Linked DNA regions of Notamacropus eugenii. The protein of the gene in region 1 interacts with the protein of each later gene in a pairwise test. Links are inferred from orthologs where the notes say so. Each region holds a gene or a part of one and is shown in the gene's direction. Other genes may lie near its edges.

Region 1 (7,090 bases):
TTTGTTGAGTGTGCCATTGAATTCCACTCATTTTTTTCCTCAGCGCTACAAGTGATCTTTTTGCCTCGAATTTAAAGAAAAATTATATAAGTTTAAAGAATGATCAGAGGTGACTATAAATAGATGGGCAGATTGTTTGAGGATTTTGTTTTCCAGTTAGCAAAAAAGTCAAGTCAGTAAGCATTTAAGGGCTTGTTGTGTGCTAGCCACTGTGTTAAGCACTGGGGGTGAATATACAAGCAAAAAGATAGTCCTTACCTTTAAGTCCTTACCTTACATTTGGAATGTAAGAGAACCAGGACAAGGGAGCCAAAAAGTTCTATTGGAAACCTTGAAGGGGGGCTATTTTGGTGAAGGCCAGTGAATGAAGGATGGCTGAGTTCCTTTCTCAAAATGTAGTTTCTAAGAAGAACTCACCCGTGGGAGAGTGGGACTACAGGGCTAGAGGGCAAAAATATTGTTATCCATCTGAATTAGGTACTACATAACCTGTATTCGTATTATTGATTCAGCTATCTCAATTAGTGTGATTTTTCCCCTTGGCTTAAATTGTCTACTTTTGTTGTGTTTTTATGGTTAACAATTATTTAGTATTGATTTTCCAAACGTAAGGTGCTTGTATCTAGCATGAAAAGCTCATAGAAAATAAATCTCTACTATCCCAGGCATGCCATGCTATTTTAGGAGGGGACCCCACAATTTTAAGTACTTGTCTTGAGTACACAGTTAGCTAAAGTTACAATGCTTATGTCTCAAATGCTTTCTGGAATGTACTCTGTATGTGAGAATGTAGAAAAGTTTTTGAGTAAGTAAAATTCTTAAAAGGTAAGAATGTACAAGGCAAATAAAAAATGTGATTTCTCTGATATAAAGCCTTTATTAAATCTTTACTAGATTAAATCATTATTTTGTTTATTCTTTTAGTTGTTTAGGAGTATAAAATGGTTACCCTTGCAGTAATTTGTCATCTTGTATTAAGCCACCTATAACATAACATTTAGTCAAATTGGATGGTGAAATTAAACCTTTCATTATCCTACACTTTACATTCACATAGTTCATGTAATCAGTATAAATCATTTGTAGTGTTTGTGTGGAAGAGAAAAGACCCTGAAACATCAAAAACTTGTTTTTTTAGAACTTATTTCAAGCTGCAAGTATATTTTAACATAAATGGGAATATTTAAAGGAGTAAGTAACCTTTCATATTTACCAGTTATACTTTGGGATAAGAGAAAGGCTAGAGCTCTGATCCTACCAAGTAGCTGTGTGGCACACATGAGCAAAAACATCAACAGTGTGATTGATGAAGTTCACAATTTGTTACTTTTTTTACCTCCATTTTTTTCTTTTCATTGTTCTACAATCACTACGATAAAATCCAGATTTTTTTTTCACTCCCTCCTCCCCACCTCCCTGAGACAGCATACAATCCTACATAGGTTCTACCCATACATTCCTATCAAACACATCCTCACCATAGCCATGTTGCATAGAAGAACCAAAATGAATGGGAGAAATCACAAAACAAACCAAAACATAATACAAAAGAAAATGATCTGCATGCTGCGGTTGAATTCCGTAGTTCTTTCTCTGGATGTGGAAGGCATCGCGCCTCAAAAGACCATTGGTCTCCATTTTCTTTTGAAGCTTTTGGTGTTCCTAAGGATGCTGGATTATATGAAATTACCTTTGCAAAACATCCCACAGTACTTCAACTTACCTGATACATTGAGTATTTTAAAAAACCCAAAGCTCTGTTGATAAGACGGTCTTCTACCAAAATATGATTGCCAAACTGCTAAGTAAATCTTGGCTTGAGGCACTGACTTCAAGCTTATGCACTTCTATAGTACTAAGCCTCATTTGTCCTATTCCCACATTCTCATTAAGGAATGATAGAGCATTTATTAAGTGCTTATACGCAGTGCTAATTGCTTGGGTATACAAATAGAAAAATCTCAGCCTATTAAGAGCTTACATCCTAACGAGTGAGACAATACATGTAAAACCACAAGGGAGCAGTGGCCCAAGAACAGATGTACTGGTCTCCAGCCAGTTGGTAGGGTCTTTGCAGAACTTACAAAAGAAGAGGGTAAAGTGGAGGACATAAAGGGTCCTAGAAACCATTTTAATATGGTTATCAAAGCAGAGTGGAAATCTGGGTATTCTTTGAAAAACATCCATGATACCTTCACATTTATTTGCCTTAATTGGTCAGCAAACATCTGCAGGCCTAGTAACCACACAGACTTGAGACTGTTGCACTTCAAAATTTTGGCAGTTAAACAATTGGATCACACAGAAGTCTGATTTTGAGACTTTTGAAGAACAAAGAATCCCTGAACTACATAGGTTATTTGTTTAAAAAAACTTTGTATTAATCTTAAAACTTGACAAAGGTAACAAAAGAACCAGATGATCAGTACACACTGACCATCTAAGAGCAAAAAAAGAATGAGAATGGACAAAGAATCCTAATTTAGACTAAAATGTTACATTTTATGTATTGAGATTATGGTTACAAAGTAAGTTTAACTAGTTATATACAATTTTTCTTTTAAAAATTTAAACTTGTAAGAGTTATAAAGTTTCCTTTTTCAGATTTCCACCACAGCCTCTTGTCCCTAGAGTTGTTCCTGCATAGTCTTATACATAGGAATGTACCCTGGCCCTCAAATCACTTTCCACAAGTTCTGATCCCTGGCTTCCCACCCATGTATTGCTATCTGGTTATCAGCCAGTGCCTCGTTTTTGGGTGAAAAGCCTAACCCTGGGAAACAGTTTAGAAGATCAGTGCTGGGGATGCTTGTACCACGTGATGTATTATTGACTGATTAGGTTGACCGGCCGTTCCTGGACCTCCAGCATGGCCCAAAGGTCCTAATCAGCAGCCACCTTGCTCTTGCTCTGTTCTCCAGGCGCTCCCTCGGATTCCAACAGCGCCTCTGTCGTAGGAAGGTTGGACTTGCTATTGCCCGGTAATAACAGCAATTTTAAGAGTCAGCAAGCGCTTGGCACTGGCATCTACTGTGTGCCAGTCCCTGTGCTCATCCTTTTCGTTTGGTCTTCAAAGTCGTTAGATGTGTAATTATTACCCTCATTTTACAGATAAGGAAACTGAGGCAAAAGGCCATTAAATGACGGGCAGGGTCACACAGCTAGCGGGCCTCTGAGGCCGAGTCTGAACACGGATCAGAACCGACACAGGCCTACACGTTCCTGAAGAGCCAATATGAGTTCATCGGGGCTGCCAGGCGGGTGGGGCACCAATGGATGAGGGAAGGCGGCGCCGAGGACGACGGGGCCCCGGAGGGCTGGGCTGGCTGCGCCCAACATCCGGGGCCCGGGTTCGGCCCCGCACTGCGGGCAGAAGGCCGCATCTTCCAGCGCTGCGGTAAAGGCCCGGAGGATTTCCTGGCCTTGGCTACCCAGGCTGAGCCCCCACATTGCCGCTAAAGGGATACATTATGCACAAGCCTCGCCGTAAAAGGAGGCCTCCTAAACGAAACCCGCAGTCCCTCTCTCTAAAAGCGGACAAAGTGCGGCACAACCTGGGGCTGCCATTGGCCTTGCCGGGCGAAAGAAGGAGGGACAAAGAGCTGTCGCTCCCCGGTTGGTCCTTTCTTTGGCTCCCGCTGGCCAATCCTCAGGAGCAATACCTTTTCTTTCGCCCGCCCACCCGGCAGCCCTGTCGGTTGAGGCGGCCACCATCTTCCCGCGGGGGCGCGCAGCCTGCCGAATCGAGCGCGCGCGCGTTTTCTTTCCCAAAGGAGACCAATTCGAGGAACGCTGTGTGGCGCCCTCTAATGGGCTATCCGCACGAGTCGTCATGTCCTTAATCCCCCGGCAACTACGCTGAGACCTGGAGGCGGGAGGGGAGGGGAGGGACACTCTTGAGCCAACGGTTAAAAAAAGCGGGGTGGGAGGGGGCAGGCCCCCACGAGCTCGCAGTTGTCCCTAGGGAGCCCTGGTTCCCTGCGCTGGGCTTCGAGGCGAGGCCTTAGGTCCCTCGAGGGCTCCCGTAGCGCGGCGTGCGGCGTCCCGGGTGACAGCGTCCCGGTAACGGCCCCGCCCCCTGCGAGGAGCCGCCCCCTGCCGGCCCAGAGTTCGCTCTGCCCCAACCTGGGCCGGCAAGCGCCGACGTCCGGGAGCCATGGCAGCTCCCCGGCGAGCTCCAGCGCTCGCCTCCTTCGGTTTCCAGGCCCCACTGCAGCCGCGCTCCAGGTCGCCACGCGTCGACTTCTACGAGCGGGAGCGCGCCGGCGGGACCCCGGAGGAAACGGCGGCGGAGGAGGGGGAGGTAGGGGGCCCCGGGTAGGGGCTGGGGCGGAGACCCTGCGCAGACCCCCGGCCCTGACCCTGGCCTTCGGCCGGACCGCGTCATCCTCCTTCCTTCTCCCGAAATGCTTCTCAGTGGGAGGAGGAAGGTGGCCTAAGGATCCCAGCATGCCATCTCCCGACTCCGTGCTTTTGCACTGCCTGTGCCCTCCCCCATGCCTAAACTGCTCTCCCTCTCCTTATCTTCGTCTTCTGGCTTTCTAAAAGTCTCAGCTCAAAGCTCGCCTTGGGCAAGAAGCCTTTCCTCTCTCTGAGATTACCCCTCCCCCCTCCCATTTATTTACGCCAGAGGTATCTTGTACAGATATAGTTGTTAATTCCCCCTTTAGGCTGGGGGCTCTTTGAGGGCAGGAGCTACTTTTGCCTTTATCTGTACCATCGATGTCTGATAAGTGTATATTGCCCCAGCATTGGAATGTGAGTACTTTGAAGGCAGGGACTCCTCTTTTAATCTCCGAGCTTTGCATAGTGCCTGGCATATAGTAAGCGCTTAATAAGTGCTTGTTGACTGACAAGCAGTACCTAACGGCTTTAAAAAACAATTCTTGTATATTTAGATGCAGTGCCTTGATTTTATTTTAGGGAGTACAAATTACTATTTTATTTGACTTCAGTACTTCTCTGATGTATTGGAACAATTGTTTCTGCTGCACCACTTTCATACTTGAGGTTTGATGTGCCCTCATAATTGAAAGCCTGTAGAAAAATAACAACTCTGACCATGCCTCTAGTCTGCTGTCTAATGAGAGTTATGTAAGTTAATGTATTATATGAGGCTTACTGATAGTAGGGTCTTATTTAGCAAAAAAAAAAAAATGCAGAGGAAGACAAGTTGGATATTGTATTGTGGAAAATACCAAGAGTTCAATCTAAAAAACAGATGGAAAAATGAACAAGGAATCATTGAATTAATTAGTGATATGTCATTTTCTTCTTCTCACACTTGTGTGCCTAAGATTTTGTTTTTGGTCAAAAAGATTACAGAATCGTAGATCTAGAATTGGGAAGGGATCTAGAGGTCCACAGATGGATGGATGAAAAAATGCTAAGTGTTAACTGTGAGCCAAGCCCTGTGCTAAGCCCTTCGGAGATGTGCAGAAAAGGCTAGACAGTCTCTGCTCTCAGGGATCTCCTACTCTAATTAGGGGAGATGATGTGATCGTGTTGAAAGTTCAGCTGCAGGGCAGATGGCAAAGACCAAATCCCTAAACGGATTTGAGGTGAGGGGCAGACAACAAGACCCAAGGGTTCCAAGGTTATGTGGTTAGGTCAGATGACAGACAGGATGTAGTAACAGGGTGGGTGGTAAGGCCTGCTGGACGTCTCCTTTCACTGGAAACGGTAGTTGGTGACCTCCATGTCACCCAAACCATTTGAGTAGGCCAGCAGCCTGTGTGCATCTTGGACCAATACATCAGGATGGCAGCAAGGGGATAAGCCCACCCTGGCCACCATGGGTTCTGGGGGGAAGGCAGCATTTGCCCCTTGCTTTCCCCCTCTATTTCAGAACCCATCTAGGAACTCATTTGGCAGAAAAATGTGGAGAGGCCCCCTGTTATTATGTTCCAGATGAAGAAATCGAAATTCATCGAGGTGAAAAGACTTGCCCAAGGTCCCACAGATAGTAATCACTGGAGGCAGGATTTGAACCCAAGTCTTCTCATTACAGAGCTAGGGCCTTTTCTGCTGCACTGTGCTTAGGTTTCAGTATCTTTATGTGTCCAGAACACCTATCTACTGGATGATGAATATACTTCCCTTTATTTCTTTCACATACACTACTGAACAGGTGTCCATCTAAAACTTCCAGCTAAAAGCCATCAGTCTACTTGTATAGATCTCCACTCACAGCTTAGAATGCATTCATGCCATATGTCTGAAGCTTCTCAGCTACCAAAAACCAAAAGTTTAGAAAATTTAAATCTGAAGGCAGTTAATAATAAATAGGTCTCACTTGAAGGTTTGGTCCTTATGACCCTATGAGGTATAGTTATTTCGGTTCAGTTTGCTTAATTTTAATCTAAGTTTTTTAGAATTTGCAATATACAAATTTAACTTAACTGAGTTAAGAGGGCACCACAAGTGGTTTAGGGACACAATGTGGTATAGAAGCAAAAACCCTGGGTAGGGGAGCCAGAAGACCTGAATTCAAATGCCATTTCTACCTCTAAGTAGCTGTGTGACCTTGGGTATTTCTTTTAAACTGTCTAGGCCTCTGTTTCCTCACTTGTATAGTGATGCTGGACTAGATGACCTCTCAGGTTATAGCCCTTCTAAAAACTAAAAGGGTGATATGGGGGCTTGGAGTAGACTGTAGCCAGCCAGTGGGTAGTGTATACCTGGAGAAGAAACACTAAAGAGAGTAGAGGAGTTAGCAGGGTGACAGCTGAATTCAGCAAACATGTTGACTATCACAGGAACATGGAACTAGTACTGAAATGATCCTCTGAGACTAACCCCACCATTTTACAGATGTAGAGAGTGGTCAGAAATCTGTTATTCCTACATGCCTACTATGTGCTAGACACAGTGCTGGGCACTGGGGATACAAAGACAAAACAGTCTGTCCCTAAGGAGCTTAAATACTATAGTAGGATACATATGTACACACTGAAAGAGATATATAATACATAGGAAGTACATACAGATATTTCCAAAAGAAACTTGGTTTGAGGGCAGGGCACTTGGGGCATGAAGGGACAGCCTGTGAATCCCTTTGGCAACTGTATGAAGGATGAGATTGGAGAGG
Region 2 (7,891 bases), about 110 Mb from region 1:
GGCAAGTTTTGTTTCTCCCATGGCTTCAACTCCTGTGTGAAATTCTTACATCTGCTTCCCTGCTCTCTGGACCCAGAGAATGGCAGAAGCACCTAAGGAAAGGTATAAGGTGTCCAAAGCTGGAGCAACGCTCTATGAAGTGCTGGAGCTGCCTCCAAGAGCAAAACCTGAAGAGATCAGGAAAGCCTACAGGTCTGCACTTAAGATCTCCTGTCAAGCCTCTTGTATCCTCAAACCTTAGACCATCAGCCCCACTTGCCATCCACCGTTTTCAAATTACTTGACCCTCCCATTGAGACTAGGGGAAGGCAGAAATCCCCTTGTCAGTGTGGATCAAGGAAAAGAGGTTTTCCTGCTTTCCTTGTTACTGAATCTTAAAATATCTAGATTCCTCCCATGCTATCTCTATCCCATGTAATCCATTCATCTTACTTTCCCTTCTTCAATTTGGGCTTGTTGCTCCTCTTTGTGCCCTCCTTCATGGTCAATGGCTGGTAGAAAATTGGCACTGAAGTACCATCCAGACAAGAATCCAGAAGACCCCAATGCGGCAGAGCGGTTCAAAGAGATCAATGCAGCTCATTCGATACTCGCTGATCCTGATCAGCGTCAGATCTACAATATGTACGGTACCATGGGCCTATATATGGCTAACCAGTATGGCTCAGACACTGCCAAAATCTACCTCATTGTGACCAAGTGGTGGTTCAAGGTATGCATTCCTTTGAAATCCCTCCAGTATTTTGGCAACAGAGATGCCTATGCATACACTGAGCATGCTGCCCCATTGCTGTCAGCGTTAGGGAATTTGGGGGTGGGGGAGCATAGACAACACTAGAGAAGCTGTTGGACTGAAGTCATTCTCCCCAATCTCCCAGTGCCTTCTCCTCTTGTGTACACTTCTCTCTTGTTGCTGCTGCTGTTGCTGCTGCTGCTTTTGCTGTGGGATGAATGTACCACAAGAATATGACGATTTTAAGTGTAGAAGGGATCTACAAACACAACATGCAGGCACAGATGTGCAGAAACAACCTTCAAGGACAGGTGAGGCCAAAGGAAAGTGGCCAAGGTGAGATCTGGGCCAAGAGTAAAGGTAGGAAGGTCTGAAATGAGAGGGATCTCTGAACCTGGGGTCCCCTAAAGCTAGGAGAATGAGATCTGGGATGGGATCAGATTGAAAGGTAATCAGGGTATAGAATCTGATGCTTTTTCAAGGTGCATATAATTTGAGTGAATGAAAAAGCATTTATTAAGTGCTTACTCCAAGCACTGGAGCGACAATGCAAATAATGAGATAGTCTCTGCCTTCAAGAAACTTCTAATAGATAACACATTCAAAGAAGTGGTGTCCTGGTAAGGCAGCTTTGGTTCGAGGAGTCAAGGGGACATTGAGTTGATCTATAGAACACTTGATTGACACACCCTTTCCAAAAGCAGGGTGGTATTGTTGATTTGATTACTAAGCGTTAGATATGGAAAAGTGAGGGAGGAAAGGAATGCCAGTAACTCATATGGTGAGATGATCTGGATAAATAGCTGAATAAGATGAGGCACAGTATGGTCTAGGGCTTCCTGGATATATTCTTTATTGATAGTTTGAGTATGATACTTATCCTGTCTAGGGTCTTTGCTGAGTTGGGAGGTGAGCCTAAAAGAAGTCATAGATGAAGGTGGGTTAGGAGATATACTTTTTGATATTTGCTCAAAAGATAACCAGCTTTTAATTTTTTAAATTAAATGTTTGTCAACTGATTTGATTGATCAGTTTAATCTAAAAGTGATCTTAAATTTCTGCCTCATCGCCATCTCAGGATCTCAGGAATAACTTCAGTGTAATGGTATTAAGTATTAGATTAAGACCGGAATTGTAGCTCATTTAAAGAAATGTTTGTATTCCAAATTCCATAGATGGAACTGAATATGCTTTCTCCAATCTGAACCAAAAAATGGATGAAGATGAAGAGGCACAAAATGCAGAAACTGACAAACAATAGTGTTCAAGGAGAAGAGAAGAAAAGGGGCTAAGGCAAAAAATTAGTGAAAAAAGTATATAACTTTATTGTATCTTGATTACAAGTTAAGTAATAAAGGGTTTTTTTCTGTATACTTACTTTAAGGGTTTCATCTTAATATGGTACTTGCTTCTTCTGTTTCCAGATGCTGACCCTGTGAATGTGTCTTCTGCTGCACAGTCTACTGTACACACTGAAGAAGGGGACCTCTAACCCCAGTCCTGATCTTAACCCTGCTCCTGTAAGCACCATGAATGCTATAAGCACTGCTAAACTCTGGCCCTCTCCCTATGAGAACTCTTTCCCTGACCTTCACAGTATCACCAGATCTGGCTAGAATACTATAAATCCCAACACTGTAAGCACCATCCCTATGTAACTTTCCTAACCTGGCCCCAAATCTGAATACAGCTGGAAACAATACCATGTATTTCATGCCATCTCAACCTTGCGAAATCTTGGGCTGACAGAGCTGCCTTCTCCCCAAAAGAATTGTGTCTTGTTCCCATGTAACTTAATGGTAACCACTGGGGTCTGTGTCTCTAAACTGTCTGGGATAATGTCTCCCTCAGAGACAGCTGGTGGTACCTCTGAAAGAGCACTGGGTTAGAGTCATGAAGACCCGAATTCAAATTTGACCTCAGATATTTACTAGCTATGTAACCCTGGGCAAATTATGTAACCTCTGTTTACCTTAGTTCCTCAACTGTAAAACGGGGGAAATAATAGTACCTACTTCACAGGGTGGTCGTGATTATACATACATACATATATGTATATGTATGTATATACACATATATACATATATATGTGCGCATGTATGTGTATATATACATATACATCCACTCAGCACAGTGCCTAGAACATAGTAGGCACTATATAAATGTTTATTCTCCTTCTCCACCCCACACCCTTCAGGGCAGGAGCCACCTTGCAGGGTAGATTCTGTACTTGGACTTTATGCATGAACTGATGCTTCCCTCCATTCCCTTGGATCTGGAATCCCATGGCTGGGCTGAGTCCTAAGCTGACCTTCCTGGGGTGGGCCCCATCTCCCCTTGCCTCCTAGTACCCTTTGTATCTGAACCACTTTATTCCACTGTGACTCAGCTCTCAAGAATGAGAAGGAAGGAAGGAGAAAAGGTTACGATGCTTTGCCAAATACTCTAGTTTCTTTCTACCAGCATTCACCCAGCCTTACCCACATGGTGTTCTTGGGACATAGTCTGTCTTCTTCCCTAAGGTTCTTATTCCCAAGACAGAGGTGTTAATTGCATCCTGGAGGAAAAAGTACTTCTCACAAAACTTTCCCTTTATTATGTCTTCTGTGCCAAAGTATTGGACCCATTTCAGTTGCTTTCCACAAACATTCCACCAAGGGCCAGCCCATATAGCCTCCCCTTAACTTAAAGTGAAAGAATCAAGCACTGTTTTGGAGCAGGAAGCACTGGGATTGAATATACATCAATGAATAAAGAAACTTTGTGCAGTGGATTGGGGACAGAGAAGACAGCCTAGAAACAGTTTGTAGAGATGAGTACCAGGGTTCTGCTACCAGGGTTGACAACTTTAATGACTAATTTGGTGGTATTTGGCAGTTTTATAGAGCTTCGAGGTTATGCCTTTTCTTAGTGGGTTAAAGTTGTTTTCCTTAAGACCTTTGACCCCTATGCCCAAAATGGGTTACAAGTACCTAAATCTTCTTTATACTCACCTCAGTTCTTAACTTTCCCCCCAGATATGGAAGCTTTACTATAACTGACAATCTGTTCATGGGACTATATTTTCTCCACTGCCTATTTCTATTTATTTTCCTTGACTATATGTTCCCCCATAGTGCCAATGCTGAGCCCATCACATGAATAGAAGAGGGCAATTTTTTTCCACATTGAGAGAAATCCTTTCAAATACTAGGCATAAGAGAAGAAGAGCCTGGTCCATGAATCTATCCGGTCTTAAAAATGCACTCCAGGAAATAAATTTCAGGCCTTGATTGGGACTTCATCAGTGTAGGCAATAATGTCTGATTGATGCCTCACTGGTCAAATGGAGGCAAAGTTGGATTCTTTATGACTATGCCAGCAGAACCCAAGCTCTGCTAGGTCCTATCAAAGTTAGAAAGCTTTGAGTATAGGCTGGTGACATAAATTCTCTATATGTCTGAGGACTAACCTAGCTAAGGCCCAAGAGATTCATCATGAGCTTGGTCACAACAAGGTGATTCAGTTTTTTGGTCACAGTAATTCTGGAGGAGTTGTGATCTGTAACTGTAGAATGACTTCCACATTGATGAAATAACTTGTCCTTGAATCTAGGTACCACCAGTTCATTGGATATCAAATTCCAGAATGACTTAGGCAGAGTCCTGGGGGAAAACAGGGGAGGGACTATCTTTTGCCATGAATCTGATAAGATGTGGATAGAGAAAGGAGGTCGAGGGTTACTGTGGCGGGTCCAAGATATATCTAATTCCCATTGTCCTTGTCAAAACTCTCCAGTTCTTGGGCCTTCCCAGCTGCTGAGCCATGGCTGGATGCCTTCACTGGGATTATTTGTAGGGTCATAGTCTTTGTGTCCAGGATAAGGCCCAAACTGGAGTATGACTGAGTAAAAACCAATGGGAGCCCTTTTAGAATTGGTATGTGAGAGACTGAAGTATTCCAAACTCTTTTTCTGGCTCAGGTTTGCCCCCTATTCCCACAAAGGCTCTAGCCCCTCCTCCAGCCCCTAGTCTATGTGACTCAGGGTCACTTGTTTGGTGACAGCTGTGGCTCCCCTTACACAAGCTAAATTGGGAATAGGAATGTGAGAGATTGTGTCATTGAATGCCCCTAGTCTCCCCTATCCCCAAGTTAAAATTAGTCTCCTGCTTTAGGATTAAGGAACAAACAGCAGTGCCTAAATTGTGAGCAATAGTCGGCCATTTGGGGAGCAGGAGATAAGACTATCCCAGGAGTGAGGGGGGAGCCATCTGAAGTGTAAGGGCAAGACAAAATTTTCTTAATCTGCCTGGTCACTCAGAGTAGAAAAGTAAAGATTAAAAAACAGCTCTCCAGAGAGAGAAAATCAATTGGCTGCCTAGGGGCCACGAGGTGGATTGATTAAGGGACAGAACAAGGAGACAGAAACAACTTTTAAGAAAAATCTAGACAGGCTGTAGCAAAAAAAGGGGGGCAACAGCTGAAGACAGACTCACATAGCTGAGAGAATAAGCCAGGTTTGGAAAAAAGACCAAAGAGGGGTGGGCACGACCACCGAGGGGATGAACTTCGCAGTGGGTTTCAAGCCGCTGCTGGGGGATGCACACAGCATGGATAACCTGGAGAAGCAACTGATCTGCCCGATATGCCTGGAGATGTTCTCCAAGCCAGTGGTGATCCTGCCCTGCCAACACAACCTATGCCGCAAGTGTGCCAATGACGTCTTCCAGGTGGGCTCAGAGTCTGGGGTTGGGGGTGGTGGGGAAAGAAGAGGGGACCCGTTGATTATGCTATCAAAGTTGGGGTTTGAAAATTGGATCCACAAGTGCCACTTACCGTGGTACACTGCTTTAGATGGATAGAAGCTTTAGGAAAGAGGTAAGATGCATGAGGGTGGCCAGCTTGTGGCTGAACAGAAAAGGACCTAAGGTGTCTAAGCAGATCACAAACCATAAGAATGTTGACAACACAGGTTTTACTTGTTTTGTATGGTGCTTAGTAGAGTGCCATGCACAAACAATCAAAATACCAGACAAGATAAATACCAGATTTGTGGGTTAGGTGTTAAGTATGGTTAAGTAGATTTAAAATTGGTTGAATGACCAGTCCCTCAAAGTAGTCCTTTAATAAAAACATATTGTGAAGCCAAACAGATTTCCATATTGACTCTGTCCAAAAAAAAAAAGTCTAAATCTGCACTCTGAATAAGTGCATGTTTCATTTAAGAATCTTCTAGAATCATGATTGATCATTGTATTTATCAGGGCTCCTAAGTCTTTCAAAGTTGTTTGTCTTTACAGTCTTTTTGTTATTGAACCAGTTGTTCTGGTTCTGCTCGCTTCACTTTGCATCTACATACAGTTTATACAATTTTCCCCAGGGTTTTCTGAAATCATCCTCTTCATCATTTCTTATAGCACCAACTTCATCACATTCATACATCATAACTTGTTTAGTCATTTCTCAATTGGTGGACACTCCCTCACTTTTCAATCCTTTGCCACTGCAAAATGATCTGCTATCAATATTTCTGTACATCCTTAGCTAATGTTTGTTCTACTTAAGATTACTCTCTCTATTAATTTACCCTCCCTTTTATTCTCCCCCTCCCAATCTTTCCTTTCCTTCTTGTTTCCCTGTTGAGTGAAATACATTTCTGTACTCAACTGTGTGTATGCATTTTCTGTCCTTTGATCAATTCAGAAAAAAGGGTCAAGTATCACCAGCTTCTTCCACCCCTTCCTCCTTGTTTGTATAGATGTCTACTTGGGTACCCTGATGATGTGAGATTTTCCCCATCCTTTCTCTCCTTTCCGTTCCTTTTATTAACCACCCCCTTTTTGTTCTTTTAAGATAAGCCATAACAGAACTACTCCCAAGCGCTCTGTCTAATTAGATGCCATCTCAGACCACTGATAATGATAGGGAACTGAAGATACGTTTACATCATTTTCTCATATTATAATGTAAACAGGTTATCCTTATCCCTTATGATTGCTTGTTCATGTTTACCTTTTTGTATTTCTCTTGACTCATGTATTTATTTGTACTTCAAATTTCTATACAGCTCTTGTCTTTTCATCAGGAATGCTTGGAAGTCTTCTCTCATTAAATGTCCCTTTCCCCCCACCCCCCTGCAGGATTATACTAAGTTTCATTGAGTAAATTATTCTTGGTACGTCTACTTGGCAAGTGGATCATATCCTCTTTTTTTCTGGAATACTTTGTTTCCAAGCTCTCTGCTTCTTCATAATGGTGGTTGCTACATCTTTTTATGTCTCCTCATTCTTCCAGCCTGCTTCCTGACTTTAGACTTTATGTTAGGGTTAGATCCTGCACTCTTCTGGAGAAAAATGCTTGAGCTGACCTTGAATCCTCTAGATTCTTACTATTGCATTCTTGAAGGTATTGAGTTTTGTGTTATTTCAGGATCTCAAAGTAGATCTTCCAGCTCAGTAGAAGCTAGGGATCTGCAAGCTTTTTGTGGTCCCAAAATCATTTGCTCTAAGGCAAATCTGTTCTCTTCCTTCCTAGTCTGAGCTCTGCAATTTCCTGACCTAGATTTGGATCTGAGCAACTCACTTGTGAGCTTGCCCCAGTTTTAATTTCAGTATTCTACTGTTGAATTCAATTACTATTAGCCAACTGGAAAATTCTTCTGGTACAGAGGGACAGAACTGCAAACTCCTTTGGTGATTCCTCTGCAGGCTTCAGATGGGACTGGAGACTGGAACAGAGATCCTTCTCTTCTCCTGAGGTCAGAGCCACAGAGCTGCTACTTGCTCAGTATATAGTCTCAAGTCCACAACCACTCCTCACCCTGGAATACTACTCCTAGTGCAGGTCCCCTCTACAGTCAACCTTAGATCTGTGACCTGAAACTATGTAGTGAGCAAAAAAGTTGCCATTTGACAGCTATTCTTGTACCCTATACACTTGGAGGTCCATTTACTGGATTTAGAATTTCTTCTTGCTCTGGTGTACAGTCTCTCTTTGCACTGGAATGCTTTATCCAGGATAGGCCCCCACAAGCAGTATCTCTAGATCTTTTTGTCTGCCTCCCTGCATTGATAACCTGGGCTGAAAAAAACTTTTTTTTTAATTTAAAGATCAAGATTCAGATCTATTTTCAGGTACAGTGAGAGAGAGTGAACTTGTCTATACTTCTTCCTACTATTC
Region 3 (7,614 bases), on another chromosome or scaffold:
TTTGTACTATCCCCTGGGCAATAAGACTATCCCTCCTTTGGGCGTTTCCTTAATTCCAACATAGCTAATGCAAAAACAAAGACAAAAATGTTAAAAACAACCCCTTTTTCTGTCTTGTGCAATCATTGCTAACCTGAATTCTTTCTGGACTTTAGGGCAGGTCAGCATTATCCTTCTGTATTCATTCGCAAATAACTCAGGTAATTTATTTCACCTTTACTTTTTTTCTAGTTTTCGGAATAATTTTGTTTTTTGCCTTCAGAATTTTATTATATGATTTGATTTATAAAAATTCAATACATACTTTTTAAAAAACAATGAATCTATAACATAAAACAAAGTATTTCTGTATTAAGTAGGAAAACACAGGAAAAGATTAGAAATTTTCTTAGAACACTATTACTCATTGGAAACTTCGGTCTATTAATGTGTGTGTGTGTGTGTGTGTGTGTGTTTAATGTCTGTGGTAAATGAGAAAAGGAAAAAATGTAATTTAGATAGTATTAAGATATGATCTCCTATGTATTATAATTCAAATCATATTCGGGGCATTTCAGGTTCTTTCTTGCTTCATATTTCACCACTTTGTTCACTCATACTATCATTTTAGCTTAATAAAAACTTTCTCTTTGCTTCTACTGGCTCACAGAACGGTTTCCACTAAAGATGCTGAGCATGTTTAAACAGACAAATGAAATAGCCCACGTTCAGTTCTCTTCGTGATTATTTGCCAAGCTGTTTTTCCTGCAGAGGTGGCCTAAACCTGAAGGCAAAATATCATGCACAGATACTCTTAAATGGTGATGACTCAGTCCAGATCCCCAGCCTATTCCAGTCTGTGATTATATATCAGAAGGTTGTTTGGTAAGCACTGAATCAGAGCAAAAAGAGCTAGAACTTTCTATGGGAATAGCTCTCCTCCATTTACCTGTTCCTCACACTGTATCCTGGAATGGTTGTTGATAGAATCATTAGATGACGTAATTTAGAGTAGAACACAATTATAGTATATTCATTATTACTTATATTTGTGTATGCTCAGGAGCAGAAGCTGTGGTGACAAATAATTGCTGGGGAATCCTAAATAATTGACAATGGCTTCATTCATCAATTCATTTATTTATTCAATAAAAATTTACTGAGGAGTTACTGTGTGCAAGCCACTGTGAAGAATATATATCTGAATAAGACATAGGTAGGTAGTCCTATACAAGTTCTTTATGATTTAGTAAGGGAAATAAGATATGTTGACATTGAAAATGGACAGAAAGAGACAAGAGAGAGAGAGAGAGAGAGAGAGAGAGAGAGAGAGAGAGAGAGAGAGAGAGAGAGAGAGAGAGATAGCGCAGATCAGCTAGCTAGTTGCTCAGGCTAGCCTCTGTAAGAAGGCAGTATTTTGATGGCCTTGCCTTCCTCTACACCATGGCTATTTCTGTCTAGATAACTGGTATGAGTCATTAAAATCAGAGTACCCAGTTATTTGTGAACTGATTCTGCCCAATAAAGAGGAGTTGGCTGCCAAAGTTGAAGTGATAGGAACCTTGGAAAGAAGTGATCAGTATATCTTAGAGTTTGTGATAAGTAAGGGAAGGAATGCAGGGCAAACCCTGAACTTGGGAAGAATAGATTTCACAGATTGTATAGATAGGATCCCATTCCTTCAAATTTTATAGGGGAAGTTGGATCAAAAGTGATGGGATGCTGTTAAGGAAAAAATTTGATGACACAAACGCTAGTGATTCTGATGAAGAATAAAAGGGAGAAAAGTCTTAAAAGAGTGATGTGGATGCACAGAAAACTTCTGGACCAACTTGAACTCCAAAAAAGGGATGAAAGAAGATGAAAGCAAGAGAAGTTTACTGAGGATGAATGCAAAACAGTAGCATGGTCCTACAAGAATAGTGCTAGGTGTACTAAAGCTCAGAACAAGCAAAAGCTTTCAAAGTATGCTAAGGAAAACAAAAAGAACAGATGATGGAGATAAGACAGAACTACTCAACACATTTTTTCTATTTTATTTTTACTAGGAAGAACAATCTTCAGTTGGACACAGATAGAAGAAAAATGATTAATGAGGAACTGAAATCCATGATAATTAAGGAAATGGTAAGAAAGTGCCTCCTTGCCTCGAATAAGCTCAACTCTAAGTGCAGATAAACTACATTTCTGAATACTAGGAGAACTAACAGGTGTCATTGCCCACTGAGTTGTAATCACCCCCCAATTTTTTAGAAAATTGTGGAAAATGAGAGAAGTAGTACAGGATTGGAGAGGGATTAAGGTCCCAGTTTTCCAAAAAAGAAATAGGATAATTCATCAAGTGATTGATTGGTGAGCCTTACTTTGATTTCTGGAAAATTCCAGAATATATTAATAAAGAGAGAATTTATAACAATTTAGAAAGAAAAATCATGTTCCCTAAGAGTAGGCACAGGTTTATCAAGATTAACTTGTGCTAAACTAAATTCAGTTCGTTTTTCTGATTGATTCAGTGGATAAGGGAAATGCCACAGACACGATATACTTAAGCCTTAGCAGGCAGTTGATAAATTATCATGATATCTTTATAGATAAGAGAAATGTAAATGATATACTATGAACAATCTGATGGAATAAGAGAGTTTCCTATGTCCACTAAGCAGGTTTAAGCTGGAGAGGGGTGGGTGACACATCAAGATTTAATATTGACAAGCTGGAAGGATGGGCAAGATCTAATAAGAAAAAGCTCAGTAAGTAAAATAAGGAAGATAGAAGTAAAAATATTTTTAAAAACCATTCACTTGGGCAAGTTTAAAAAATAAACTGCAGAAATATCACATTTCTAAAACCACCATTACAGAGGAAGGATGAATAGTCAATAGTATGAGTGAAAAAATTCTGTATTGGTGTACAGTAACCTCAATATGAGTCAACAAATGATAGGATATGGATGATAAAAAAAAAAAGGTAATGTAATCTTATGTAGAATTTAGAGAAGCAGAGCGTAAAGAATATGGGGGAGACTGATCATGCTACTTTCTGTTTTGATCAGTTGGAATATTTCGATAAGCTCTGGTGGAACATGGACAGTTGCTTGATGGAGATTGTCTATTATGGTAAGAAGGTTAGAAACTATGCCAAAGGAAGATCAGTTGAAGGAACTAAGTCTGGAGAAGAGAATTTGGAGTGACAGGAAATCTGTCTTCAAGGATTTGAAGAGTGGTTATGTGCAAAATGGATTAGAAGTGTTCTCTTTGGTCCGGAGCTGGGGCAAAGTGGAGGAATAGGCAGATTGCAGAGACAGATTTTGTCTTAATATAGGAAAAACTTCCTAACAAATTTGTCCAATGACAGAGGCTGCTTCTCCATCACTTAACAATAGGGAAAAGGCCTAGACCTGTGATTTCAAATTCGTTTAACTACTCCCAGAAGAGGAAGCACCCCGTAGTAATACCAATGGGTACTTTCTTGACAATTTATGTCCTAAGAGAGTTGCCTTGAGTGTGGAGAGGTTAAATTACTTACCCAGAGTCACACAATATGGGTCAAAGACTTGGTTTTAAGACCAGCTCATTATCCAATGTCGCCTAGAAGAATCACTTCACAAACAATGTGTTCTGAAGGCAACCCCCCAAATATGCTGACCTTAGCTTCTTTACATCTCCTTGCCCTACCCTTAATGGTTCATCATTACCAACGGGAAACTATGGTTAAATTCACCTATTGGACTTTTTATGTTTGCCCATGTTTGGCTACAGTAACACCTAACGTGTTACTATTTAAGAAAGGAAAATAGCCCAAAGAAAGTACTAAGTGTATTTGAGGTTATTTTAAAAGGAGAGTAGTCATGGTTTTGCCTTTCTTTGTATCTTAAGTGCTGGGCACATAGTAGGTGCTTATGGACTTGTGACTTATCCAGACAGGTAGATGAGGCTTATCGAGATCTTGATCCGGGATGGCTATTTTGGTGGTTCTTTGGACAGTTTTCTTTTCAGCATCACTCTTTGGAGTACACCTCCCAAGTTTCTCTTCTTTTTCCTTTCTTTTTGCACTTTTTCATCCCCAAATCAGAAGGAGGGGGTTGGAAGGTAAGAGAATTACTCCATTTTCCACTCAGAACCCTATTCCCACGTGCCACCGGTTAGATGCCATATTTCGATGCTACCACTGCCCGCTCCCAACATCGTCCATTCCCCAAAGTCGCAAGTCGGGCCAACTGGAAGATCTTTTGGGGATGGAATGTGCACTTTTCACAGCTCCATTTTCTTCTTCTTACTCTATTATACCTTTACGGGAAGTCTCGGATTTGGAAAAAAGCCCCGAAACAGTTTTTCAAGCTGACGAACTCCTTTGTCCTTGTCCCGATTTCTTATTTTAGTTACAGCAAACTGCCAAAAATCCTACGAAAATGTGAAGCCTGCATTTTCATGCCTCCTCTTCCTTTCCTTCAATAAAATTCACCATCCTCTGCATTTTACAAGGCATCTCGGATTTTATTTTAAAGCTCCCATCCCTGTCCTGCCGAATTCCTCTGTCCTCTGCTTTAGGAGTGTTTCGACTTGTTTTTTCACCCTTCAGAGCAGATATAGGGGCACACAGAAGCTAATCGAAAAGAAGATTTGCGCATCGAATCCTTGTTTTTCATATTTCTGGCATGCCAAGCCACCGAAATGGGTAGGGTCGACACTTTTTCACTGTGCAGGCGTAACTTTGGCATCTCTTCTGCTTCTACCACTCTCAGAGGCACGTCTCTCATCTTGTCCAATTTTTTTCTGGGCAGGAGTCGCTCTTCCTTTCTTTCTCTAGCCTTTCTGGTCTATTTTTGGAGTGCTGACTTCTTCCTTTGGGGCTGGAGTCTGCATCCAGGCGTCCTGGGAGCCTGACCTAATTCTGGAAGTCAAGTATTGTCATCCTGTCGGTCTCCCTTTGCCAAAGCTCATGGTTGGGCTCCAGAAGAGGAAAAAAACCTTCTCGTCTAGAGTTGTTGGCGCGTGTTCGCTTCGCCTCTTTAGAAAACAAAGCCAAGAAATGCCTTTTCTTGCTTATCCCGAGCAAGGACTTGGAGTGTGAGTGGAGCAGAGAGCAGGAAGAGCCTGGACAAGCGCTCCCAGGGATTCGCAGGCTCTAACAGGTGCGTCGCTGCAGCTGCGCTCCCATCCCAAGCCTGGAGTGTAGGGAATAAGACTTTTCAAGTGCAAGGGGAAGGGGGTGGAGCCAATGGGGAGGCCCAATCAGGTCAAGTAGGCCCCGTTATTTATCTCCTAGCAACCGAGGGAACCAATGGGAAGGAGCCTAGGTGGTGGAAGGCGAGGGGGAGGGGTGGGAACAGCTCAAACCTGCGGCCCTAGGGAGGGGAGGAAGCGCAGAAGGGGGCGGAGCCTAAGCTGGGGAGACAGTAGAGGAGGCGGGGCTTGCAGGAGGGAGTCTCAGCCTGAGGCGCCTCATTCTCGGGCCTGGCAGTTGGGGATTGTAGCTGCAGAGGGGAGTCTGGTGGTCGTAAGGCAAGGAGCCCCCTCCCCCACGCACCCCCCCCCGCCCATGGGGGGGGCCATGACTGGTGAGCGTCCCCCCCCCCTTAGGGTGGGGTCACTGTGACGTGCCCAACAAGGGCCCAAGAGCCTGGGTGAAAAGGAAACCATTGGTTGGGGGAGGGGGTTGGGGTTGGAGGTGGGGGGCTGGGGTGGGGGTGGGGGGGTGGGAAGAAGTGCCTTCTCTGCGGCTGGGTATGCAGCGAGGTGGGGGCAGGGCAGGGAGGTGAGTGTGGCCGCCGCCCTGGCACCTGGATCTCTGCCCCTCCCCCTCTGGGAGGCGCCGTTGGGGCAGCTGGCCCGGGGTGGGGGGTGGGGTGGGCCCCGAGGCCCAGATCGGCTCCTGCCCCCCTCCCCCAAGCCCATCCCCCCCGCCCTGCAGGGGTGAGGGGCGCTAGAGGAGAGCGCTCCAGATGAGGGGGGAAGGGAGGGCGGGGGCGGGGGGGGCACGACCCACGCGACGGACAGGTGCCAGACACCGGAGGGAGGAAGGGCCGAGCATCGACGTGGGGGGAGGCGGCGTGGGCAGGGCCATCGCCTCGCTCCCTCCCTGCTGGAGGGACAAAGGAGGGACGAGTGGGAGGATCCCCTTGACGCGGTGGGGAGGGGTCTCCCTGGGAGGACCCTCAGTCGCGGCGATGCTGCTGTCGGAGCCGCTCCGCTCGAGGCTGGCAGCCCCATGCTTGCCTGGTGGCCTGGACGAGGCTCGGCGGTGGGAAAGCCCCCCTGGGGCTGGGGGCGGCCCGGGGGACCCCAGCCCTGGGCCAGCCCCTCCGGCTCCCTCCGGGGAGGCCCCCTGTCGTGGGCAGCGCGGGGCCGGGGCCCGGGGGGGCCGCGAGGAGGCGGCTCGGCTCTGGAAGGCTGAGATGCGATAGTGGACTGCCGGGAGTCGTCCTTCTGCTGTGTGTTTTCGGAGCGGTGTCGGGCGAGCGAGTAGGGCTCAGAGCGGGGGCCCGGGGCTCGGGGGGGGGCCGGCCGCGGGCTGAGGGCATTGCCCCGGGCTGGCCGCGGTCGGGGGGCCCGGGGGGCCGGGGGCAGGGGCGTGGGGGCTGTGTAACGAGGACCCGGGCTCGGAGAGGTGCTGTGCTGTGCTGCGCGGCTCGGCTAGGTGCACCGCTCGGAGCCGGGCCCTGGCGTGCTGCGGCTGCCGAGCCCAGCGCGCCGGGCCCGGGCACGGCCGTGCGATGTGGTGCGGTGCTGGGTGCCGCGAGCAGATGGAGAAGTGTGGAACGAGGCCTGGTGCCAGAGGCTCGTGCTGCAGCAGCCGGGTGCGTGCTGCCAGGCGGCCGCGCTCGGAGCACAGAAAGCTCGGGAAGGGCCCGCGTGGCGCAGGGCCGCACTAGGGTGCTGCTGCGAGCGCACGGCGTGCTGGGCTCCCGAGCGGTGCCGGAGGGTGCTGCCGGGCCACGTGCAGTGCCGGGCCGGCGGGGCTGCCCTGGCGCGCGGTTTTATAGAGTGTGGGCACCTGGGCAGTGAGGTGTCAGGGAACGTGGCGTTGCGCTCGGAGCGCTGTAGTCATGCTGTGGCACGCGGCGTGTTGTATAACGCTGTCCTGCTTATCTAACGGTACTCTGCTTGGGCTGCGCTGATCCTAATGTGGCCTACAGCTTAGAGCGGTTAGATAATACGGCATTAGACTACTTCAAGGGGCAACGTGATATTATATAATGTGATATCATAGTCAGTGCTGTAATAATATTGTAGCATGCTACCAGAGGGTACTGGAATGGTACCGTACTAGGGTTAGCTTGTTATATAGCGTGATGTGCTTTTAGTACTGCAATGATATAAAATACTATTTAGGACACCATAATATTACAACGTATTTAATTACTGTAATAATATATATGTAATTATGATATAAAAACTCAAGCACTGTAATATGTAACATAGTATGTTTAAGAGTTCTGTGATAAAATTGTTACGCTATTCAATGCTATGTAATATTCCATACTAAGAGTACTATAAAACATATTAGACTTAGAGTACAACGTGTACTACTTAAAGTATATAATTTGCTTTTGTTCAGTTGCGTCTGACTCTTCATGACTCCAGTTGGGGTTTTCTTGGCAAAGATCCTGGAGTAGTTTGCTGTTTTCTTCACCAG
Region 4 (7,662 bases), about 73 Mb from region 1:
CTGGGAAAGGTGAGCTTAATAGATGCTTGTTGACTGATCAACTTTCTGAATGGAATAATTTGTCAATGATACAAAATACCATTACGATCATAAATCTTGAAGAACAGACCATAAGGAAACATCCTAATTATTAATTAATTAAGTGTCTCTGACTGTACATATCCTGTATATACTTTCTGTGTTGGGAAATACTAGGGTGGGGTTCTGGTGGTACAAAGATGGCCAAGGAAAGGTGATTTAATGTGGATACAGTACGAATACATACTGTATTATAACACATGACAGGTCAGAATATGATAATCAGTCAATCAACCAGGTATCTATTATATACTTGGCACTGTGCTGTGTGTGATAAATGCAAACCAAAGAGAAACATATAAAATTCTCTGAGAAATTCTGGAAGGGGAAATCTCTTTGACTGAAGGGACCTGGGCAGAGTCCATGGAAGACTCTGGGTAGTCTCCCTTGCGTTGGGCCTTGAGGGGAGATAAGAGTTTTAATCCAAGGCAAAACTGTAAATTGTCACTAAAAGCAGATTGGTTAAAAATATCTTCAGCTAGATTTGAGCAGCAGATGGAGAGGAATGAATGCGAAAGAAAGAAAGAATGAGGAACTAACATTCATTAAATAATGGGTGTCATTGGTATGAACACTGCATTACAAATCATTCTGGGGAAAGGAAAGAAGGGCACGGAAATGCTGAGGGTTAGCACCGAGATTACTGCTCAGATTTTCCTTGGGAGGAGTATGATTCCGAATGGCCAAGAAAGGAAAATAGACTGGTTGAGTTACTTACTTTTCTAGCCTGTATTCTCCGCCCCAGATTATCTTTGTTAAATCTTTTTATTACTCATTGCTTAAAGCACCTATCTACATGAATGCACGCTTTGGCATTCCTTTCATTTTTCTCTCTGGGAACTGATAAAAACCAAGGTCGGTTGACCTTCAATATTATATCTGCCAGTTAGCTCCTGTTCCTAAGACTCCACTGTCAAGGCACATCTTTGGAGCCTCCAGATAGAAGGGCCACAGAGCTGGGAAAAGTAGAGATTTCCCGTTGAAACAGAGAGCTCAGTGGGCAAATGAACTGTATGTTTTACAGCAAACAGAAGTGTTTACTCACGAAGAGGGGGTACATGAGGCAATGAACTTGATATATTTCAAGTGAAAGTGGTTAAGTTTTTGGACATAAATTATTTGGAACATGACCTCAATTCTCCATTTTGCAAATATATATTTATATATTCTGGTCTTCCTGACTCCAGGTCCGGTCTTCTATCTGCTGTGCCCCTCAGCTGCCTGTGTGATGACCCACTCAAACTTCAGACCTCTCCCACTTAGGGATGAACTAATCTATTAACTACATGAGGGCATCATGTCTATGAATGGGAGGGGTGGCAATGAGGAAAAGTGAGCATTGGCATCCTGTGAACCAGGTCTTCTGAACTGCCCCAAATAGAATTCTTGGCTCTAGCAACATGTGCCCTGGGATTTGCCATGTTCTTCCAAGGTAATTATAAGGAAGAGGACAAGTTCCACCCCCATCCCCAACATGTCCATTAGTGAGATGCCTGGTGTAGTGATGGCCATTAGGTTATACTTTCTAGTGAAGCTCACCTCCAGAAAAATACAGACAAAAAGTAAAACGTGTGAAATATCTCTTTTCAGCATTTCCAACCAGATTCCATCTTAATTTGGATTCAGAAAATGCTTTTCCCTCCCCCTTCCTTGTCTTTCTTTTCCTTTCTACCTAGCTTCTTAAAAACTCTTTGATACTAATAATAGTAGAAATGCTATCCGAATAAATTTCAAACCTCCCAAATACAGCTAGGTCTTTAGTGCTGGACTTTAAAGATAACTCCCCAAAGTACCAGGTCCAGTTCTTTCAATCACACCAGCCAAGGGCTCCTTCCATAAAGCTTTACTCTCAGAAAGCATGGCACCTAATAAAAAGAGATACAAAACAAAAAGGAGGGGTGTCATGGAGCAATGGATGGAAATGGCCTCAGACACAGGAAGATATACCGACTTTGGGACTCAGGACAATTCTCTTGGCTCCTCAGAGGTCTGGCTAACTCTCAACTGCTAAGACGGTGAAGACCTGCATTGGCAGAGGAATTCCCTATCAGGGGATCCTTCTAGAACAAAAAACTCACCTAATTTGAACCTTCTGGACCAGAGTTCTTAAATTTGTGTGTCTGTTTGTGTGTGTGTGTGTGTGTGTGTGTGTGTGTGAGAGAGAGAGAGAGAGAAAGAGAGAGAGAGAGAGAGAGAGAGAGAGAGAGAGAGAGAGAGAGAGAGAGAGAGAAAACAAGAGAGAGAGAGAGAATGAGGAAACAAAGAGAGGGAGGAAGGGAGAGAGAGGTGGGTCCCTTTGGCAGTCTAGTGTAGCCTATGGACTCTTCAGAGTAAGTTTTTAAATGTTTAAAATAAAATACATAGGATTACAAAGGAAAAAAAATTTTTTAAAAAGAAAATGTATGAGATTCCTTACAATATTTCAGTCATTGTGGCTTAAAAATCCATGACTCAGTGGCAACCTCAGAGAATTTAGCTATCTGGGTCCTCAGATGAGAATCATGCAGTCTATTGTTAGGCCTGTACTTGTACCATTTCTACCTTTAGTGGACTTGCAGGAGTTGGTGGATAGTTCCTTGTCATTGTCTGTGAGAAGTCAGAGTCATCTGTGGGTCCTGATCAGACCTGGTGGGAGAACTTTTGTGGAGGATCCTCAGCAATAAGTGTTTTGAGTCCACTCCCAGTCTACTAGACTGGCTCAAATGTTTTACTGTGATGTGGAGGTGACCAGGAGTTCCCAAAGATTACAGATGCCTGAGCAGATGCTACCATTTGAAAAAGACTTTGAATGGGAGCCCAAAGGACTGAAGATACTGTGGGCCACTTACCTCCTGCCAGAGAGGGGTTGGATTTAAAATGTGTTGCTGTTCAGTTGTGTCTGACTCTTTGTGATCCCACTGGGGGTTTTCTTGGCAAAGATACTAGGATGGTTTGCCATTTTCTCCTCCTTCTCATTTTATAGATGAGGAAACCAAGACAAACAGAGTGAAATGGCTTGCCCAGGGTCGCATAGCTAGGAAGTATCTGAGGTCAGATTTGAACTTAGAGGAGTCTCCCTGACTTCAGGCCAGGCACTCTATCCATTGGGCCACAGAGTGCCCCATTTAAAATATACAATGAGCCATATCTTTTAGGACTTGGTTAACATGAGGATTTGTTTTTGCAGATTGTGTATATTTATGATAGGTTTTATTTTTCCTTTTTAACTGTCCAGTTGCGGGGTGAGGGGGACAGTGGGAAAGAAAGATATTAGCTGTATGTGAAAATAGATAAATAATTCTTTTAAAAAATTGGAGACTGTCTGTCTCTTGTATCTGAGAGCAACCTAGCTAAATCTGGAGAGCCCATCTCTGAGTTGGAGGTAGGCTGAAACATTTTTTGGTCTTTGAAACTCTCAAAGCTCACTTACTAAGTTTCAGAGGAGGTGTAATCTGTCAGAAGAGCGAATGCTCATGAACCTGCAAATGCTGGACATTTGGTACCTCCTCTTCAAGTATATTTACTATGTTTTCTAAATAGACAAATTATGTTCCATTTGAGAAAACAGAGGCTCTGATGGCTAAAATAATTTGCAGTCTAGGCAGGACTTTGCTTTGATCAAGATTCTTGACTTTCAGCCCAGGGCCCAAATCCAGACAATTCTCTCTCCTACCAAGCAGCAGCAGCAGCAGCAGCAGCAGCAGCAGCAGCAGCAGCGGACAAAACCAGCCTTGAAGTGGGTGACTCTCAGCATCTTCTAGGTCTTTTATTCTGTCTTCTATACCTGGCAAGCAAAGAGGGGACACTAGGCCCATCCCTCCCCCCCCCCCCCCCCACTCTATCTCCAGTAGAATCATCATTCAGGCTACATGTGAAGTCTCTTTCTTCTCCTCCTTCCACACCCCAGAGGGGAAATATTGCTGCTCTCTCCAGAATAAAATGCCGGCACTGTTTAGGAGACAAAGAACAATGGCTCCCTGAGTTGGGGCTCCTAAGGTCAGCTGTCATTCTTGTCTCCTGGGTTTAAGGTCCTCCTAATCCCTTCCTTCTGCCGCAGATTTAGTCTGGGGGCTTGATAAGGGGAATAGCTGCTCTTGGGACCCCTCGGCTGGTCCAGGAGTGGTTGGGGGTCAGTCCTCCCCCTTTTCCCTTTAGAGGTCAAAGGGGCTTGTGTCTTTCTTCCTTACCTGCTCTGACGCCTTGGCACGAGTTTGGTTCGGGGGTTGGGGGGGTGGGTGGGGGCACCGAGGAGAAGGGGACGTTCTGAGAATCAGCCCTGCTCTGTGCGTGTGTGCACGCGTCCATACGAGTGTGCATGGGTGTGCACTCATGTGCCTGCGTGAGCGCGCATGCAGGCACTTGTGTGCCCGCTACTCCGGCCCCGTACCTGGTGGGAGGGCTCCTGGACGACCCAAGGAGCCCCCCAGCTCCCCTGTCTAGCTCTTCTCCCCAGCCTCTGGCTGCTTGCCCGCCTCCAGCACCGAAGAATGTCTCCAAGTGTTGAGAGCCGGTTACCATGGGAACCAGCAGCCGTTCGAGTTAATCATTTCCTGTGGAAAGTGTAAGGGGGTGGGGTGGGGGGGGAGGTCAGAGACGACAGTGTGACATTCCAGCTTCGTACCGGGCGGCCGGGCGGCCACGGGGATGCCAGAGCGGGCAGTGCCCTGTAGCTCCTCCCCAGGGGGCAGGGGAGCTGCCACCCCGGAGGGACCCCGGGCTGGGCAGCGGGGACCAGGTGAGTCACTGGCCCTGATGCCTCCGCCTTTGGGGGGGAGGGGAGTGGGACGTGGGCCCCCCAGCTCCATCTGGAAGCCCACCTTCAGGCTTTTCCAGTCTCCAGCTCGGCTCCCGCTCAGCTCTCTCTTCTCACGCCGGAGGGGCTACGCCTGGGGATCCCTTTCCCTTGCCCAGTTTTGCATCCCCAGGACACCCCGCTCTGGCTGCCAGAGATCCCCCTTAGGGGATCCCGGTCCGGCACACCCGGGTGCTGGAGGGAGGTAGCTGCAGCGGCCTGAGACTGGAGGGGCTTCGGGGGGCGGGGGAAGGGATGTGCTTTGAAAACAACCCCGAGATAAGTCTCCCCTGGATTTTCCTGGCTGCAAGCTTAGGGCTGCAGTTGGGCAGAGAGGGGCGGGGCTCATTTCTGCTTTAAAGCCTTCTCTACCGAGATTCCAAGGTTTAAATTCCCTTACTGGATTGAGTCGGGCGGACTAGCCTGGTCTCTGTGTACCTTGGGGGTGGGGAGAGGTGGGGATCGATAACTGAGACCCTCCTGGGTGATCTGAGTGGAAGAGTGAGGCAGCCTGCCTCTGGGGGGTGGGGGGTGCACACCTCCAAATGAGGCTCTGATGGACTTGGAGAAATACTGGTGCTGAGCTGGGGGCTCCGCATTCTCAGCTCCCTGTCCATCCCGGGGACGCGTTGAAGAGGGGTCCCAGGCAGACGACGTGTTTCGATTTTCTTGGGCAGCTACCAGGACGGAGGCTAGTTATTAAGGTTTAAATGCAAGAGGGCCAGGTGAAGAGTCTTCTGGGAGACTGTTTTCAAAGGAGGGGATCTGTCCGTTTGGAATTTATGCAGGCAGATGCCTTGCGATCGGGGGTCTCCTTTCTGCCTAGTCCCGTCTGTCTTTTGTAAGACTGCATTTTCTCCACCATATATCTCCATCCCCTCCTTTCCACTCCCACCGAAACCACCCCAGTTTAGGCCCTTATTTCTTCTGTCTAAACTATTATAATAATCTCCTGGTTTCCATTCTTCTAATCTTCTCCAAACTGTCCCACTAATTCCACTGCCCACCTGATATGTGCCTTTGCCCATAGCAGTTTCTCTACTCAAAAAACTTCAGTGGCTATCAGAGCATAAATTCCTTACCTTGGCATTCAAAGCCTCCATAATCTGGCTCCCATCTACCCTTCCAGCATTATCTTAAATGAATGTTGTTTGATCTTTATTCATGTACTGTGTTCCAGTCCAGTTGAATTTCTCTAGGTCTCTTTATAAATTTTGTTTTCTCCCATTTCTGTTCCTTTGCTTTCCCCATCTCCCATATCTGGACTCTTCCTCCTCTCTTGCCCATCTTTGGAATTGCATTTCTTTCTTCAAGGACCTGCCCCGTGTCACCTCTTCCAGGAAACCTTCCTTACCTGGCCCTAACCAGGTGAAGGGGATCTTTTTCTGGCCTCTCCTTCACACTACACAGAATCCAAGGAGTTTAGAGATAGAGGCAGTCCACTGAGTCCACCATGTACCTGAGAATCCTTCCTGCAGCAAAAGGTCTTCCGCGACCTTTAAGGTCCAAAGATTTCTATTCGGGGAGAACCTATTCCCACCCAACCCAGCCCATCCATTCTTGGATAGTCCTAACTAGGAAGTTTTGTCCTTATATGAAGCCTAAATCTGCCTCTTTCCACACACTGTGCCCCCATTTTTGCCCTCTGGGGCCAAGTAGACCAAGCTGAATCCTTCTTTTCATAGCTGGCCTTCAGATACTTGAAAAAGAGCCATTGCTTTGCCACTGAGTCTTCCCCTTCTCTAGCCTAAACACTCCCAGTTCCTTCAGCTGATCCTTATATGGTATATATACTCAAGGTCCTCTCAGAATGCCTTCCTGATTACCAATGGCCTTACCAAAGTCTGGCACCCAGAACTGAACCCAACTCCACAAACGTGGACTAGCCAGGTCAAAGTACTTAATATACTGTAGTTTTATCACAGCTTTTCATTTCTGCAGATTTTCTTCTCATTAGATTGTAACCTCAGAAGCAGGTTACATAGTTTGTCCGTCTTTGTGGTGTCTAACACGTTGAATAATAATATCCTAATAATAATATAAACTGGCATTAATATAGCATGTTAAGGTTTTGCAAAGTGCTATACGTGATATGTTGTTTGATTCTTACCACAACCCTGTGAGGTAGGTGCTGTTATTGTAATACATTTTGCAGGTGAGGAAACAGGCACAAAAAGTGACTCGCCCAGAGTCATACATCCATACATGAGGTATTTAACTTGTAGAATTGTTTGTCAATAGTATTTTTCTAACACTCGTCTAGACCTTTTCCTTGACCAGATGGACAGAGTCAGTATATTGAAGTCCGTATTTCAGATCTCGGCTTCCTAAGACAGGAGCATTAGACCAAAGTACATTCTCTACCCTCCCCCAACCCTTCCCCCACAGCCCAGCTTATCAGTACCTTAAGCTCAAGGAGTACATACTCTTGCAACCTGCTCGTCAGTAGCTGGTCTTTTATTGTGTCCTTGAAATAGGCCAGGCTAGTGGCTCTCTGAGGCTAATTGGAAACAAGGCCGTGGGTTGGCTCTATGGCTTGGCCAGCCTACCCTGACCTCCACAGCGCCCCATCCGCATGCTGAATACAGATTGCTGCCTTGGGCTGCCTCTGATAGGAATCTCTCTAGTCCCTTCTCCTCCAACCAGATTTGGGATCCGCCTATGTTTAGGGGCACATTCACACCCATGTTGGTTAGGTTTCTGGCCCGGTACTTGTCTTAGGCTGAAAGTTGGTCCAGGACATCATTAAGCTAAAAAGGTCTAGGAAGGTTGTTGGGTAGGGGACGGTCTTGTTCTCTTGGCTCAAAACTTTG

Evidence for each region.
Region 2: the proteins of FAM161A (region 1) and TRIM54 interact in binary tests that used the Homo sapiens proteins (3 or more experiments, as listed by UniProt). The two-hybrid records come from large-scale screens. The link is inferred for Notamacropus eugenii from reciprocal best matches to the Homo sapiens genes FAM161A and TRIM54.
Region 3: the proteins of FAM161A (region 1) and SSX2IP interact in binary tests that used the Homo sapiens proteins (3 or more experiments, as listed by UniProt). The two-hybrid records come from large-scale screens. The link is inferred for Notamacropus eugenii from reciprocal best matches to the Homo sapiens genes FAM161A and SSX2IP.
Region 4: the proteins of FAM161A (region 1) and KIFC3 interact in binary tests that used the Homo sapiens proteins (3 or more experiments, as listed by UniProt). The link is inferred for Notamacropus eugenii from reciprocal best matches to the Homo sapiens genes FAM161A and KIFC3.

What each region holds. Positions count from the first base shown.
Region 1 is NC_092872.1:642,870,926-642,878,015, forward strand, and holds the start of FAM161A (protein FAM161A), read left to right. Parts: upstream 1-4,078; 5' UTR 4,079-4,156; coding exon 4,157-4,303; intron 4,304-7,090. UniProt on the Homo sapiens protein: Involved in ciliogenesis.
Region 2 is NC_092872.1:528,547,398-528,555,288, forward strand, and holds the start of TRIM54 (tripartite motif-containing protein 54), read left to right. Parts: upstream 1-4,875; 5' UTR 4,876-5,274; coding exon 5,275-5,442; intron 5,443-7,891. Other genes in the region: DNAJC5G (dnaJ homolog subfamily C member 5G), read left to right, coding at 80-192, 499-712, 879-1,044, 1,909-1,994. UniProt on the Homo sapiens protein: May bind and stabilize microtubules during myotubes formation.
Region 3 is NC_092873.1:493,726,405-493,734,018, reverse strand, and holds the start of SSX2IP (afadin- and alpha-actinin-binding protein), read left to right. Parts: upstream 1-4,606; 5' UTR 4,607-5,536; intron 5,537-5,680; exon of another isoform or gene 5,681-5,733; intron 5,734-7,614. UniProt on the Homo sapiens protein: Belongs to an adhesion system, which plays a role in the organization of homotypic, interneuronal and heterotypic cell-cell adherens junctions (AJs).
Region 4 is NC_092872.1:716,304,008-716,311,669, forward strand, and holds the start of KIFC3 (kinesin-like protein KIFC3), read left to right. Parts: upstream 1-4,653; 5' UTR 4,654-4,792; intron 4,793-5,388; exon of another isoform or gene 5,389-5,541; intron 5,542-7,662. Other genes in the region: uncharacterized protein, read right to left, coding at 1,872-1,943, 3,731-3,841, 4,245-4,575. UniProt on the Homo sapiens protein: Minus-end microtubule-dependent motor protein. Involved in apically targeted transport. Required for zonula adherens maintenance.